Arabidopsis thaliana: one gene and its partner. The protein of the gene in region 2 interacts with the protein of the main gene of each other region in a pairwise test. Each region holds a gene or a part of one and is shown on either strand. Other genes may lie near its edges.

The links.
Region 1: the proteins of AT1G67530 (region 2) and AT5G50020 interact in a two-hybrid assay, tested with the Arabidopsis thaliana proteins (one large-scale study listed by BioGRID).

The regions. Positions count from the first base shown.
Region 1 is NC_003076.8:20,349,243-20,355,361, forward strand, and holds AT5G50020 (DHHC-type zinc finger family protein), read left to right. Parts: upstream 1-1,917; 5' UTR 1,918-1,967; coding exon 1,968-1,999; exon of another isoform or gene 2,000-2,290; coding exon 2,291-2,387; intron 2,388-3,023; coding exon 3,024-3,209; intron 3,210-3,599; coding exon 3,600-3,899; intron 3,900-4,087; coding exon 4,088-4,321; intron 4,322-4,396; coding exon 4,397-4,882; 3' UTR 4,883-5,075; downstream 5,076-6,119. Other genes in the region: AT5G50010 (transcription factor bHLH145), read left to right, coding at 314-1,249; AT5G50030 (Plant invertase/pectin methylesterase inhibitor superfamily protein), read left to right, coding at 5,424-5,609, 5,830-6,119. UniProt on the Arabidopsis thaliana protein: Palmitoyl acyltransferase.
Region 2 is NC_003070.9:25,305,477-25,312,265, reverse strand, and holds AT1G67530 (ARM repeat superfamily protein), read right to left. Parts: upstream 4,650-6,789; 5' UTR 4,459-4,649; intron 4,446-4,458; exon of another isoform or gene 4,161-4,445; intron 4,110-4,160; exon of another isoform or gene 4,067-4,109; 5' UTR 4,038-4,066; coding exon 3,987-4,037; intron 3,763-3,986; coding exon 3,577-3,762; intron 3,487-3,576; coding exon 3,379-3,486; intron 3,262-3,378; coding exon 2,099-3,261; coding exon of another isoform or gene 2,026-2,098; coding exon 1,185-2,025; 3' UTR 958-1,184; downstream 1-957. Other genes in the region: AT1G67540 (uncharacterized protein), read left to right, coding at 6-770; AT1G67520 (lectin protein kinase family protein), read left to right, coding at 6,119-6,191, 6,461-6,789. UniProt on the Arabidopsis thaliana protein: Functions as an E3 ubiquitin ligase.

The sequences.
Region 1 (6,119 bases), on a different chromosome or scaffold from region 2:
TTTGATGAGTTTATGTTATTGCAATATATTTAGATTTTTAAACCACCAGAACTTTTTTTTATTGATTTCGTTTTAGCTTTGATGTTGTGTATTTTGCAGGCTGAATATTTCCGTCAATTGTTGAAGCCCGTCACGTAGAGTAGCTCGATACTTATCGTTCTTGTTTCAAGCCTAGTTTCTTCTATCCATTTAGTTGGTAAGTTCCAGTCTTTGCACACATAATCTTTTGACCTCCCATTCTTGATTATAAGTAGCTGATTTGTTTGAGATGATGATGTCCTCTGTTTTGGATAGTTGATTTGTTTAGTGTTGGATGGGACAAGATCGTGGGTTTGGGTTTCCTACTCAGCGCTTGTGTTCCTTGTCTTCCCTAGCTCTGTCTCATCTCGGGAAGCAAGACTTGAATTTAGTATCTAAAACCTGCGGCGACACCACCGACATGTTTTCTACTCGTGGATCTTATCAAGTTTCTACCCAAGTCTCTCAATCCTATTTTGATGGGTATTGTGGATGGGTTCATGGGTCATCCCACCTACAGCAGCAGTTCTTGCCTCCTCAAAACCAATGTATGAAGCAAGTACCTCTTCAAGTAGACGGTGTTATATCTAAAGCTGAGGAACAATGTAGTCAGAAGAGGTTCCTAGTGTTTGATCAGTCTGGAGATCAGACGACTTTGCTACTCGCTTCCGATATACGGAAATCTTTTGAGACCCTAAAACAGCATGCCTGTCCTGATATGAAGGAAGAGCTCCAAAGAAGCAACAAAGATTTGTTTGTTTGTCACGGAATGCAAGGAAATAGCGAACCGGATTTGAAGGAGGATTCGGAAGAACTAAATGCATTGCTTTACTCTGAAGATGAGAGTGGTTATTGCTCTGAAGAAGATGAGGTTACAAGCGCAGACCATTCCCCAAGCATTGTAGTATCAGGCCGTGAGGACCAAAAAACATTTCTTGGAAGCTATGGACAACCATTAAATGCTAAAAAGAGAAAGATACTCGAAACCTCGAATGAGAGTATGCGGGACGCTGAATCGAGCTGTGGTAGTTGTGACAACACAAGGATTAGTTTTCTGAAACGTTCTAAGCTGTCTAGTAACAAGATAGGAGAAGAGAAGATATTTGAGACTGTAAGCCTCTTGCGCAGTGTAGTCCCCGGGGAGGAACTGGTGGACCCGATCTTAGTCATCGATAGAGCCATTGATTACCTTAAATCATTGAAGATGGAAGCGAAAAATCGAGAAGCATGAGGTTCTTTGTTTGTAGGATACCTAAGACATATTAGCATTGGCAAGTGGACTTGGTTTCTAAACAAAGTAGTAGACATATTGGACCGTGGTACTCTTGTCAAGCTACAAAGGGATCAGGTTGTTGCTAGTTGGAAGATAAACCAAATAATGTTTCGGAGTTGCAAGAGAAGGAATTGATATTAAAATGCAAATTGAATATTTCATATTAGTTGATGATTAAGATGGATTGCGAAATTTTAATTTCAGTCGTTTAGCTGTTTGTTATATCATGTAGTTGCTTCTTCTTTTTCTATAAGATTTTGTCGGTGTGGTTGTTATTGTTCATCTGTGAGTCGTGTGGCCGAGAGAATCATAAATGGGAAAGTTGAATAACCATTTTCAATGATAGGCCAATTATAATGGTAAACACACAATTAATTTAACTTTTTTACAAATGATTAAAGATGTTTGTTTTCGTGCCAAACAGACATGTGATTTGGTGGGATATTTGGCAGTCTTTTGTCAATATGGTAGCAATTTTTGCCTATTGTTTCATGATTAAGACTCTTATCACTTGTCATTTCCTGACTTTTGTGCATAGAACTAGTGACATGTGATATACTGTAGTCCCATCCAGTTTATAAGTTTTGAATACATGTCTCTAGCCATTCAGAATAAATCTTGCAGCTAAATGTTTTAGAAACCGGACCAGATACCGGTTCATCCCAATTTCAGCCACATGAACGATTCTTGGTCTGCAGGACCGGACCGGTCCGGTTTTTAAAACATTACAAAAATAATTTTATATGCGTAATAAAAAAATGAAGGAACAAAACTGTAATGTTCGTCTCGGGAGACACAATCCAGAAACGAAACGCCTTTTGTGAGAGAGAGAAGAGAAGAGAAGAGAAGAGAAGAGAAGAGAAGAGATCGCACCACACAAAAACTACAATTTTGTTTTGGAAATTACTCTCACCCACCTGAATTTTGTTGCTAGAGAGACAACACTTAGGTTTTGGGCGGAGTTCTGATGTGAAATGAATCGGCGTAGAAAATTTTCAGGATCCTCCAATTCGTCAGAGAGTGTAGCGAGGAGTGTCTGATCCGTTCGCTGATTCTAATGGCTGGACGGGTCTTCGAAGCCTGGAAGGGAAGTAATGTAAGCTTTTCTTTTTCTTTCTTAAGGCGTCTCGATTTCGCTTTACTCTTTTCCCTTTTCTGGAATCTACATTTAGGTTTTCTTAAAGGCGACATTTTTATGACTTCACTGTCCTAGTTTTAAGAAAAATAATTGCAGAGAAGAATGTTCTGAGTGGATTTGTTGTTTTGATGAGAACAATGTGGACATTTTTGAGGGAAATTGTACTTTTGTGTGAAGAAATTAGTATCATCATATTCAATTAGATTACATTGGTGAGCTTTATTGGATTCGACTGTATATGTTGAATTTGGTGGCTTTAAATTTCGAATCTTTTTCAACTCTATCACTGTTGATAGTGTCATTTATTGTTATCATTGCGAAGATCTAAGTTTGAACATATATACCGTATTTGTTAGATTTGGTTTGGTTCCATGCTGATGCATCACCATATTTACAACATTGATGAGCTTTCTATTCACTATTGGTTCACTCTCCAAGCATGAACTTGCATTTTTGGTGAACTCTATCAGTCTATTGTCAGATTTTGTTCAATGGAACCCATTACCACTTGTGAATGTAGCTTTTGATGCAATGCTCTATGCTGTATTTATTCTGAACATGATGATCATCTTCTCTTTTGTTGGTCTTTTGCAGAAGTTTCTGTTTGGTGGGAGATTGATATTTGGGCCAGATGCTTGGTCTATTCCTTTTACCTTCCTGCTCATCATAACTCCCGTTTGTTTCTTTTCTGTATTTGTTGCAACACATCTTCGCCGCGAGCTCTTACCAAACAATGCGGGACATGTGTTCTTAGTGGCAGGAGTTCTATTTACTGTCTTTGTAAGTTTTCTCCAATGCCCATTTGATATTTGATTTCTTGTTCACATGTATCTTGTATACCTTATAATCTTATCATGGGATATTATAGGATCTTATCAACTCTTTTATAAGTTTTGAATGTTGATTATATACATGCATTATAGTATGATTCACTTGTAATTATACGACAATAAGTTAAAAATCTTACCAAAATTTTGAAATCACACCTCAATAACATGTATCTTACTGTGTTTCTTGTTATGTTCTTTCCTCTAGCTTAGATATAAAGTTTGAAGTATTATTTTGAATGTTGTCACTTTTTGTGTGGCTTTTGGATTATGCTTTTTTTGGGCAGGTTTATTATTCTTCCTTCATTTATGTTTTTTTTAAAATCATGTAAATACTTAATAGGTACTGATCCTTCTCTTCCTCACTTCTGCGCGGGATCCTGGAATCGTTCCAAGAAATTCGCATCCGCCAGAGGAAGAACTATGCTATGATACAACTGTATCAAGTGATGGAAGACAAACACCCACTGTTCAAATTCCTAGGACGAAGGAAGTCATGGTTTATGGCGTTTCTGTTAGAGTTAAATATTGTGATACATGCATGCTTTATCGGCCTCCTCGATGCTCCCATTGTTCCATTTGCAACAACTGTGTTGAGCGCTTTGATCATCATTGCCCTTGGGTAGGCCAATGCATTGGAGTGGTAAGCTGATTCAAAAGCATATTAAACTGGGAAGATATGCAGTTCATAAGTTCTTATAAGCAGAAAAATGTGCAGGATTTTCTATAAAAGGATTTCATATTTTGAGGATCTGGTTTTTCTAGTTGTTGACAAAACTGTGAACTTTAATTTTCCATCTTGACATTTTGTTTTGTGTGTGTTGTGGGCAGAGAAACTATAGGTACTTCTTTATGTTTGTTTCTTCGGCAACTATTCTCTGCATCTACATTTTTTCGATGTCGGCATTATACATCAAGGTTCTGATGGATAACCATCAAGGTACTGTGTGGAGGGCAATGCGAGAATCACCCTGGGCGGTTATGCTGATGATATATTGCTTTATTTCCCTGTGGTTTGTTGGAGGGCTTACTGGGTTTCACTTGTACCTCATTAGCACAAACCAGGTTAGTTTTGTTCTGCTCAGGGTATGCGTTGTGTAAATTGTGTCCTATCTGATACCCAACATTTCAATTTTTCAGACGACCTATGAGAATTTCCGGTACAGATCAGACAATAGAATCAACGTTTATAACCGTGGGTGTTCAAACAATTTTTTTGAGACATTTTGCTCAAAAGTTAAACCCTCAAGGAATGACTTCAGAGCGTTCATCAAAGAAGAACCTCCAAGGAATATTACATTGGCTACCACATGGGAACGACCAGAAGAAGCAGATGAAGAAAACAGGGAGGAACGGCGCCAGAAGGTGGAAGACGATCTAGACATCGATGAAGATGTTATGAAACTGCAGCAGCGTTTAAATGACGAAGAGGGCAGCGATACAGCGCATCACAAGATCGATATTGACCAAATGAGAATCGGGTCTAATGAGAGAGCGCCAACAATTCGATCAGAAGCCAGGCATGGAAACTGGGGAGCAAGAAGCAATGCACAGGAGGAGGACGTAATTGCTGGTTCTTCAGTAAGAGAAAGTAGAAGCTATGCAGCTGCAGAGGAGGGACGGTGATGAGTGAACGATGGTAGTAGGGTAATTATTTTGAAGCTTTTTCTTTCTTACTAAGTTTTTATTGTTTTCAATTTTTCATTATTTTGTGGGTTTGGTTTGATTTGGGAGTTGTGAACACTATTTGTGAATAAGTTTAGTGTAAGCTTGGGTAGAGGTCGAATTAAGTTATAAGTAATCAACTTTTTGAATGTTTTGCCGTGATGATGATTTCTAATGATGATTTAGGTTACTCTGGTTTTTGCCTTAAAATAGACAGAACCACAGTTTTATTTTACTGTTTTTCTTTCTAAATAAAGAAAGGCGATAAGATTGAATATTTTTGTCCCCTGACCAAAGTTATAGGAACCATGACAATGATCTATTTATAGAGACCGTTCAAACTGAGAACACACTAAATTTTTTACATTCTTAAATTAGACTTGCCATTTTGGTATATATATGACCCAAAGTGATATTGCCTCAACCAACAAAAGCTAAAACCAAAATCCGATTTCCCCATACTTAGAGGTCAAGAGAAATAAAATATTTTTCCGGCGACGCAATGGCTTCTTACTCCGGTTGTTTCTTCGTCGTTACTTTGGCAGTTCTGTCACAATTTCTCTTAGCCCCAGCTTCAGCCTTGGTCAACAGGGAATACATCGATTCCAATTGCCAAAGAGTCAAAAACAAAGCCTTCTGCATCCAAACTTTGACCACCTATCCTCCTGCCGCTGCTGCCACCGGCCTGGTACTGATCATCTAAACACATAGTTATTCAGTAATAATTCTAAACTAAAACACATCTACATAGCTTTTGATGGTTTGTTTCGATAAGCGTCTATGGCAACATCATTTAAAAGGAATTCAATGGAAAAAGTGTGAAGAACCAACCATTTGTTTTAAGAAGTTTTTATAGGTGTTTAAAAAGTTCATTAAAACTTTGAAATTGCTTATGTTTTAATCTGTAGTTACCATTGGCTGAGGCCGTGGTTGGCCTTGCAATATCCCACTGCGAGAAGACAGCTGGTTTCGCAGCAGAGACAGCCAAAAAGGACGCAACATTGAAGACTCAGTTCAACGAGTGCCACGACGCCTATGTTGGTATTTTGGCGTCTCTAAAGAGCGCTCTACTGGAACTCAAGGACTCACCAGACACTGCCAACTACGACGTCATGGTTTCTGGCGATGATACAAGGCGTGTGAAGGGTTTGGTCGAGAAAAACACTGACACTGCTTCCAAGACGCTTATGGAGATGAC
Region 2 (6,789 bases):
GACAGGAGCAACCGGCGAGAAGGAGGCCGCGACGTCGTCCTCTTGAGACTTGTGGTGGTGTAATACTCTCCATGACTCGTGTTCTTTACACAAGAAGCCAGACTCTGATGAAGAAGAAGAAGAATCTATCCTCTTGGCTATTGAGGAAACTCTTTGAATTCGTTATCTTCTTTGTTTCGATGACAAGTCCGTTTCATCGTCATTTTCTCGCGGTTCTCTCTGTAGCTGACGATCATATACTCGCGTTACAAGACGCAATCGAGACTTACTTCCCTTCTTCAAGCAATGTGTTTGTTAAGATCTTTGATTTGTTGATCATTGTAGAGACTCTGCCAGAGAAACTTGATGGAGTGCTCAAGAAACTTCCGAGTTTGATGAGCCGAGTGGCGTGGCTAGATTGGTTGTTGGTTCATGTTATTTCTAGGCTTGGTTTGTTGGTGAACGTGTTGGGACGTTGGAGAGATAAGAACAAAGGGACGAATGAGAAAGAGATCACAGTTGATAGGAGCTTTAGCAGATCAGGGTCAGTTTCAGAAGAGGAGGAAGAGAAGAGGAATTTGGGGACGGAGAAGAAAGTGTCGTACAAGGAGGCATTACAGAGAGGAAGTAGTGGAGAAGATGGCGGTGGAAGCACTGGTCGAAGCAGCAGTAGCCGCAGAGATCCGATCTTGGAACTCTTTGAGACCGGATGGATTCAGAATCCCATCAAACGAAGTAGTAGAAGCGCGGATTCGCTCACCTTCTCGCGTTCTGAATCCTATTCGACCTGATTTCTTTCGAGATTTGAACCCGAGGGGTGACACAATAGCTTACATGTTTTGGTCTCTTTCAAGTACTTCTTGTATTCATTACTTTGTAAATGTCATATTCTAAGTAACCTAAGTTTAAGATTTGTTTTAAAACTTTGGATACTTATCATAGAAACATAATAAACCAGAAGAATGACAATAAGTGAATACGATGTTAAAACTGGGGTTTTGTTTTACTTGTATTTACCTTGATTGATATACATCTTTTTTTGGCTAACCAAAAGAACAACAAAAATCGAGTGTACTAATCACAATGAGACCTGTACAACATATCTTCTTCTCTATGAAATGACTTTTGTAACTTGTAAGAAAGAAAAACAAAGCTTTACATATAAAAGGTTGTACTTGTATGTACATGTGATATTTTCTTCTTTCTCACTCGCGAACCGAGTAGCTTTTCTTCCAGAAGAAGCTGAATGGTCTTGCCATCGACTTTCTTCTCGACATTGATTTCGACAGGACTCTTGGTTCATAGTCTTGAACTGAAGCTGAAGCAGGAGTTGATCCATGGACAGACAGCGGTGCTGAGAGAGATTTTCGGGCAGGTTCCTTTTGGGGTGGCTCATCTCTGTTTGAAGATGGCTGGTCCCGTTGCTGTCTTTCTTCCCTAAACAGCATTAGAAGCTTCTGAGACTTCTCTCTGCCTCGAGGTGTTCCGTTTACAGAGATTGACACTAATGATGGTATCACACCTTCTTGTAGCACCATTTGGATACAAGACTCTCTTCCATTGCATAGAATCAAAAGGCATGAAACAGCTTGCTCCTGCTCTGTTGTGTCACCCATGTCTAGCACTGTTGCTAGACTGCTGATCATGCCCTGTGATGATACCGCTTCATCTTTGCCCTCCTGGCTTGAAGCTAGATTTAGCAATACGGCTAGTGACTTCTCTATCCACAAATTTTCACCTGTTGATGCGAGAAGGCCTTGGAGGCTCTTGATGATGTTAGATGAAAGGAGAGCAGGGATATTGGGGGAATATGTGGAAAGGTTGTAGAGGGCGTGAAGAGCATCGAGCTTGCATTGGGTTTCGATTTCCTTCTGAAGAAGTTGGACAAGGAAAGGTACTGCTTGGCTTGAACCTATCACGGACTTTGCTTCATCGAGACAGGAAAGGTTCAGATAAAGCGCGGTTGCTGAACCATGGGACTCAGCAGAAGAAATCATTTTCTCCAGCAGCCGAATCACCCCAGAAGTTAACATCAACTCTTTGTTCCTTGAGAACACAAAAAGTAATGAGAAAGTCACAATCTATTATTGTATTACCAACATCAACAAGAGGTACTAACCTGTTGTTGTTGACGGCTAAATTGAACAGAGCCATAGCTCCACTATCCTGAGCTGCAGCATTGTTATCATCTACAGCTGATCCTAAGAATCGCAACAAGGCTTCAACAAACCCGTTGGCTCCCATGAAGATCCTGGCCTCTTCATCATCCTTCAGCAATAGCCTGATTTTTTCTACAACCTTGCATTTTTTCTCCAAACCCTCCTCTTCGTTTAAGACAGCCAATAAATCTTGATACCTCTCAAGTACATTTATATCAGAATCCTCCTCATCATCATCATCAGACACAAAACTTTCTTCTGTGTTTTGTCGTTCAACAACAGTAGTACCATTCTCCTCCAACGGAACAATTTTTACGCCCTTCAATTTATACGACCCTATACTGTTGACTGACTGTGATTTGGTGGACTCGGAGTCAGAGAGAGCTAGTCTCCAGTAGTCGAGGTCTTGAGATTCCGGCGGCCCACTAGGAATTTGAGTTCCATTCTGTTCACACCAGCTCGCAATAAGACCTTTAACACAGTTATTGGGAGTCAAAGAGATATGTGGGAGCTGTTGTTGAGTCTTTGGGCAAGTATTATGCCCATCACTGAACCATTTCTCAATACAGACCCGTTCATAAGTCTGCCCTGAAGCAATAATGACAGGATCACACATAAGTTGCAAAGATATGGGACATCTCAGTTCTTCGGGTGGAACAGGCATCTGTCCTGAATTTATGCTGTTCATGGGCTTGTCGTTTAAAGAACCAAACCTTGATAGCTGACGACCAAACCCATGAACACTCCCATGATCTTCATTAGGAGAACATGGATAGGAACCCGGAGAGTCATTCTCATCCAAGATCTCACTTCTGAATAGCTTGGAGCATTTTCTCATAAGATGCAGAAGATAAGCCACAATTGATTCCTTACGCTTGTCTTCTTCGGCGCGTGCCCTGTCAATGAGTTTCTTTAAAGCCCTTCGTTCTGCCAGAGCCACTCTAGAAGAAGTGATACTTAGTCTAGTAGCAGCACGGTGGAAAATTTCAAGCTCGGTGTTGTCATTACAGTTGTCAAATTTCTTCCCTTGTTGAAGCAATGCAATAATCTGATCACCGACTTCCTTCTCCGATGGATCAAGCATGAACCTGGTGTTCTCTAGTTCACCAACAATTTCCAAAATCTGAAGAAATCATACATAAAAAAAAACAGACTTCTCAACTATAAACATCATAACTATCAATCAACAAGTGGACTTATCTTAATCATCACAATGTGAAATGAACTGAGTAATAATTACCTGTGACCCAATTGAGCTAGGAACAATGTCTTCTACACGTTTAAGACCATCAATGAGAGCAATTTTTGCTTTCTCAAACTTTAAAAGAACCGCATCCCCCGTTATGGCCTGTTCACATTGGAAAATGTAGAACATTAAAGAAGCAAAACACACGAAACGAGAAAGCATAAAACTTGTCCAAAGAGAGAAAAAACTGACCAAGTAAAGTTTACTACACTCAGAACAGTGCTGAAGAATATTTTTTGCCTTCTCAAGTGCAATATGTAAAGAGCATAAGGCTTGAATCCCTGATTTGCTACGCGGTCTTGCTCCTTCCAATGACGGGAAGATTGAAAGTACCTTGCATAGAACTCCAGATAGTTCCTTGCACATATCTCCATGTAACTGTAGCAAAAGCACAAGACAATCAAATCATCAAACACCAAGAACATAAAAACACGAAACCCTCTAACAACATTGAAATCAAATGATAATAAAAAATATGTCCTTTAAGATAACCCAATTACTATTTCTAATAGAAAATTTGTTTGCAATAATCAGAGATGCAAATTTAATCAGATTCCAACAATTACAATCCGAATTCGAACATTTCAATTTAAAAACCGAACCTTGGCATCGCTAGCCGCGAATAGATTCTCTTCAAGCTCGGTCACATCCATGATCAAACCTCACCAAAACAACTCTAAAACTACAAAAATCTCCCAGAAACAAAGGAATCAATACATGAATTCAGAGAAATTATTAAAACAAACAATGAATCATGCTACAATCACAGAAATTACCTTTGCTATGAGAAAAAGATCTTAACCCAGAAAAGAGAAAGAAAAAAAAAACAGAATTTTTTATTCAAACAGCAAATCCTGGAAAAATTGCAATAACGGAACTGAAACACATCCACAAAAACCGGGAAATTCTACGATTAATAGAAAAAATTGCGAATTACATTAAAAATAAAAGAGAGCACTAAAAATAAAGCTGCGGAGAACACGTGTGGAACCAGTAACAACCAAAAATGGACAAACAAAGACAAAACAAAGAACAGAACAGAAGAGATAAGATAGAGGTCAAACATTTACATACCGGGGATATTGAGAGACCGGCCAAGGAGGAAGGTTCATAAAAGATAAACCAATAGAGAAGAATCAGACAAGTGATGATGAATTAGGGTTTTGTTCTTGGTAAGGCGATCCATGATTTTGGGGTTAAATGTGAGAGAGAGAGAGAGAGAATAAAAAGATATTCGAGTGGAGGAGGAAGTACTTAAGAATCTGTGTGTTCTGTTTTAAAAATTATTAAGTTAAGAACGGCATTACTGTGATGTTAATTAGTATTCTAATTTAAAACTAATGAACGGTTCTTTCTATAAATATTTATTTAATGTACTAGTTTTAGGAAGTTTTCCAGAGACAATATTGTAACTGGGGTTGACGTGAGTTTTCATATAATTTGTAACTTTTTGACTTTTGTTTAAAAGATTAATTTGGTTAGTTAGGAGTATTTAAGCTTTTTTGGAAGAGTTTAGAGTTTATGGTTAACCTTTTTTTTTAAGAGATTAGTGCGTTATAGTTGCAAATAGTGCGTTTTTTTCCATCAGAAAAGTTAGTGGAAACATGAACAAATTGTCAGTTAAATTATGTTATCCCACTTGAATATTTTTGCATTTTGCTTTTAATTTCTAACGGTCCACCAAATCACCAAATGGAGTATTTTAATTATTCTTGAATTAAAAACTCACTCAAAGATTTGCTTCTTCCCATCCACCCAGGCGGATTGAAGTTTTTAGCGTCTTTTTAATTATCATTTTGTATTTATAATTTATTAGATTTTTAAATTTATAATTTGAAAATTATTATCATTTATTTATTTTATATCAGACTTAAATATAAAAATATTGTTTTTGAGTTGTTATATTTGTTACCTAAATTCTTGCCAAAAAAAAAGAAAAAGAGAGAAAATCTTCTAGCTTCGAAAACATCTAATACTGTAATAGTAAAATCATTAAAACTTTTAAATTGGTTTATCAAAACTATGTCGTATATTCTTCTCCTTCTCCACGGAACCCACACATAGTAGAGAAACAATATGAGCAGTTTATCACACTCTTGAGTTACCAATTTTCTCTCATTTCTCATTATTCCTTCACTTTCTTTCGAGGTACTTCATACATAGTCGTCTTTCTCAAGTTGTTGTGGATTGTAGAGAAGACCTAATAAGCTAGAGAATGGATTCGAGGAAGTCTTTATCTTCCATCGATAGCTTCAACGATTGTTACGTTTGCTTGTAACCCAAGATTCGAAGGTCAACAATTCCACGGATGATATACCTTACTTGAGTCTTTATTTCTAACCAGTTATATGTTACAAGCTAAGTCTGATTCTTGTATTCTTTTCTACCATTGAAACCAATAAAATGGTCTCCTTACCAAGTAAAACAGGGTTATTATTATGTACTCTAACAACATTTTCCGTTCAATCAATACAAGAAGCTTTTGGATTTCTTATTTCTTTTTTTTTTTTGGGTTTTTTTCTTTCAACAAAATGATTATAAATTATTTATTTTTCTTTACCAATAAGATTTGGGGTTTTATGAACCATGATGAAATACTTTTTTGTCTTTTTATGAAGAAATGATATAACTCTGTTTCTCCTCTCTTGGTAGCAATTGGCTTTTTATTTCTCAGGTAAGTAGTCTCCCCCTTTTAAATCCTTATTGGGTGTTGTATTCTCCCAACAGGCGTGAGATGTTCGTTAAAAACAAAAACAATTGCTCAAGAGCATGGCGTCTGGTTCTGTTATGTATGTGTCTTGTTTTAGGTAATAAGAGTCAACTTCAATTTTGTGGTCACTTTCTTGCTAATTAGTTGTGATAACAGCTGTTGCTTAGAAACTTCAACGGCCAAGACTTCAATTTTGTCTCCCAGCGTAGTAGACTTGGAACTTCTGATATGACTTTGATCACAAACAAGATATATCTTTAAAAAACCACTTTAGAAAGAAATCTATTTGCCAAATCATCCATCTTTCTGAAACTATGTGTTCAAATGGCATCTTTGTCTCTCTTCTTACTTTATCTCTCTTGTTAGGAAAATCATGCAGTGAAACAGATACGCTACATCAGGGTCAGTTCTTGAAAGATGGGCAAGAGCTCGTTTCTGCTTTTAAAATCTTCAAACTCAAGTTTTTCAACTTTAAGAATTCAGAAAACTTGTATCTTGGAATTTGGTTCAACAATCTTTATCTTAATACTGATAGCCAGGACAGACCTGTCTGGATTGCTAACCGTAACAATCCAATCTCAGACCGCTCTGGAAGCCTCACAGTGGATTCTCTTGGCAGATTGAAGATTTTAAGAGGAGCATCAACCATGCTTGAGCTAAGCTCTATAGAAACCACAAGAAACACAACCCTTCAG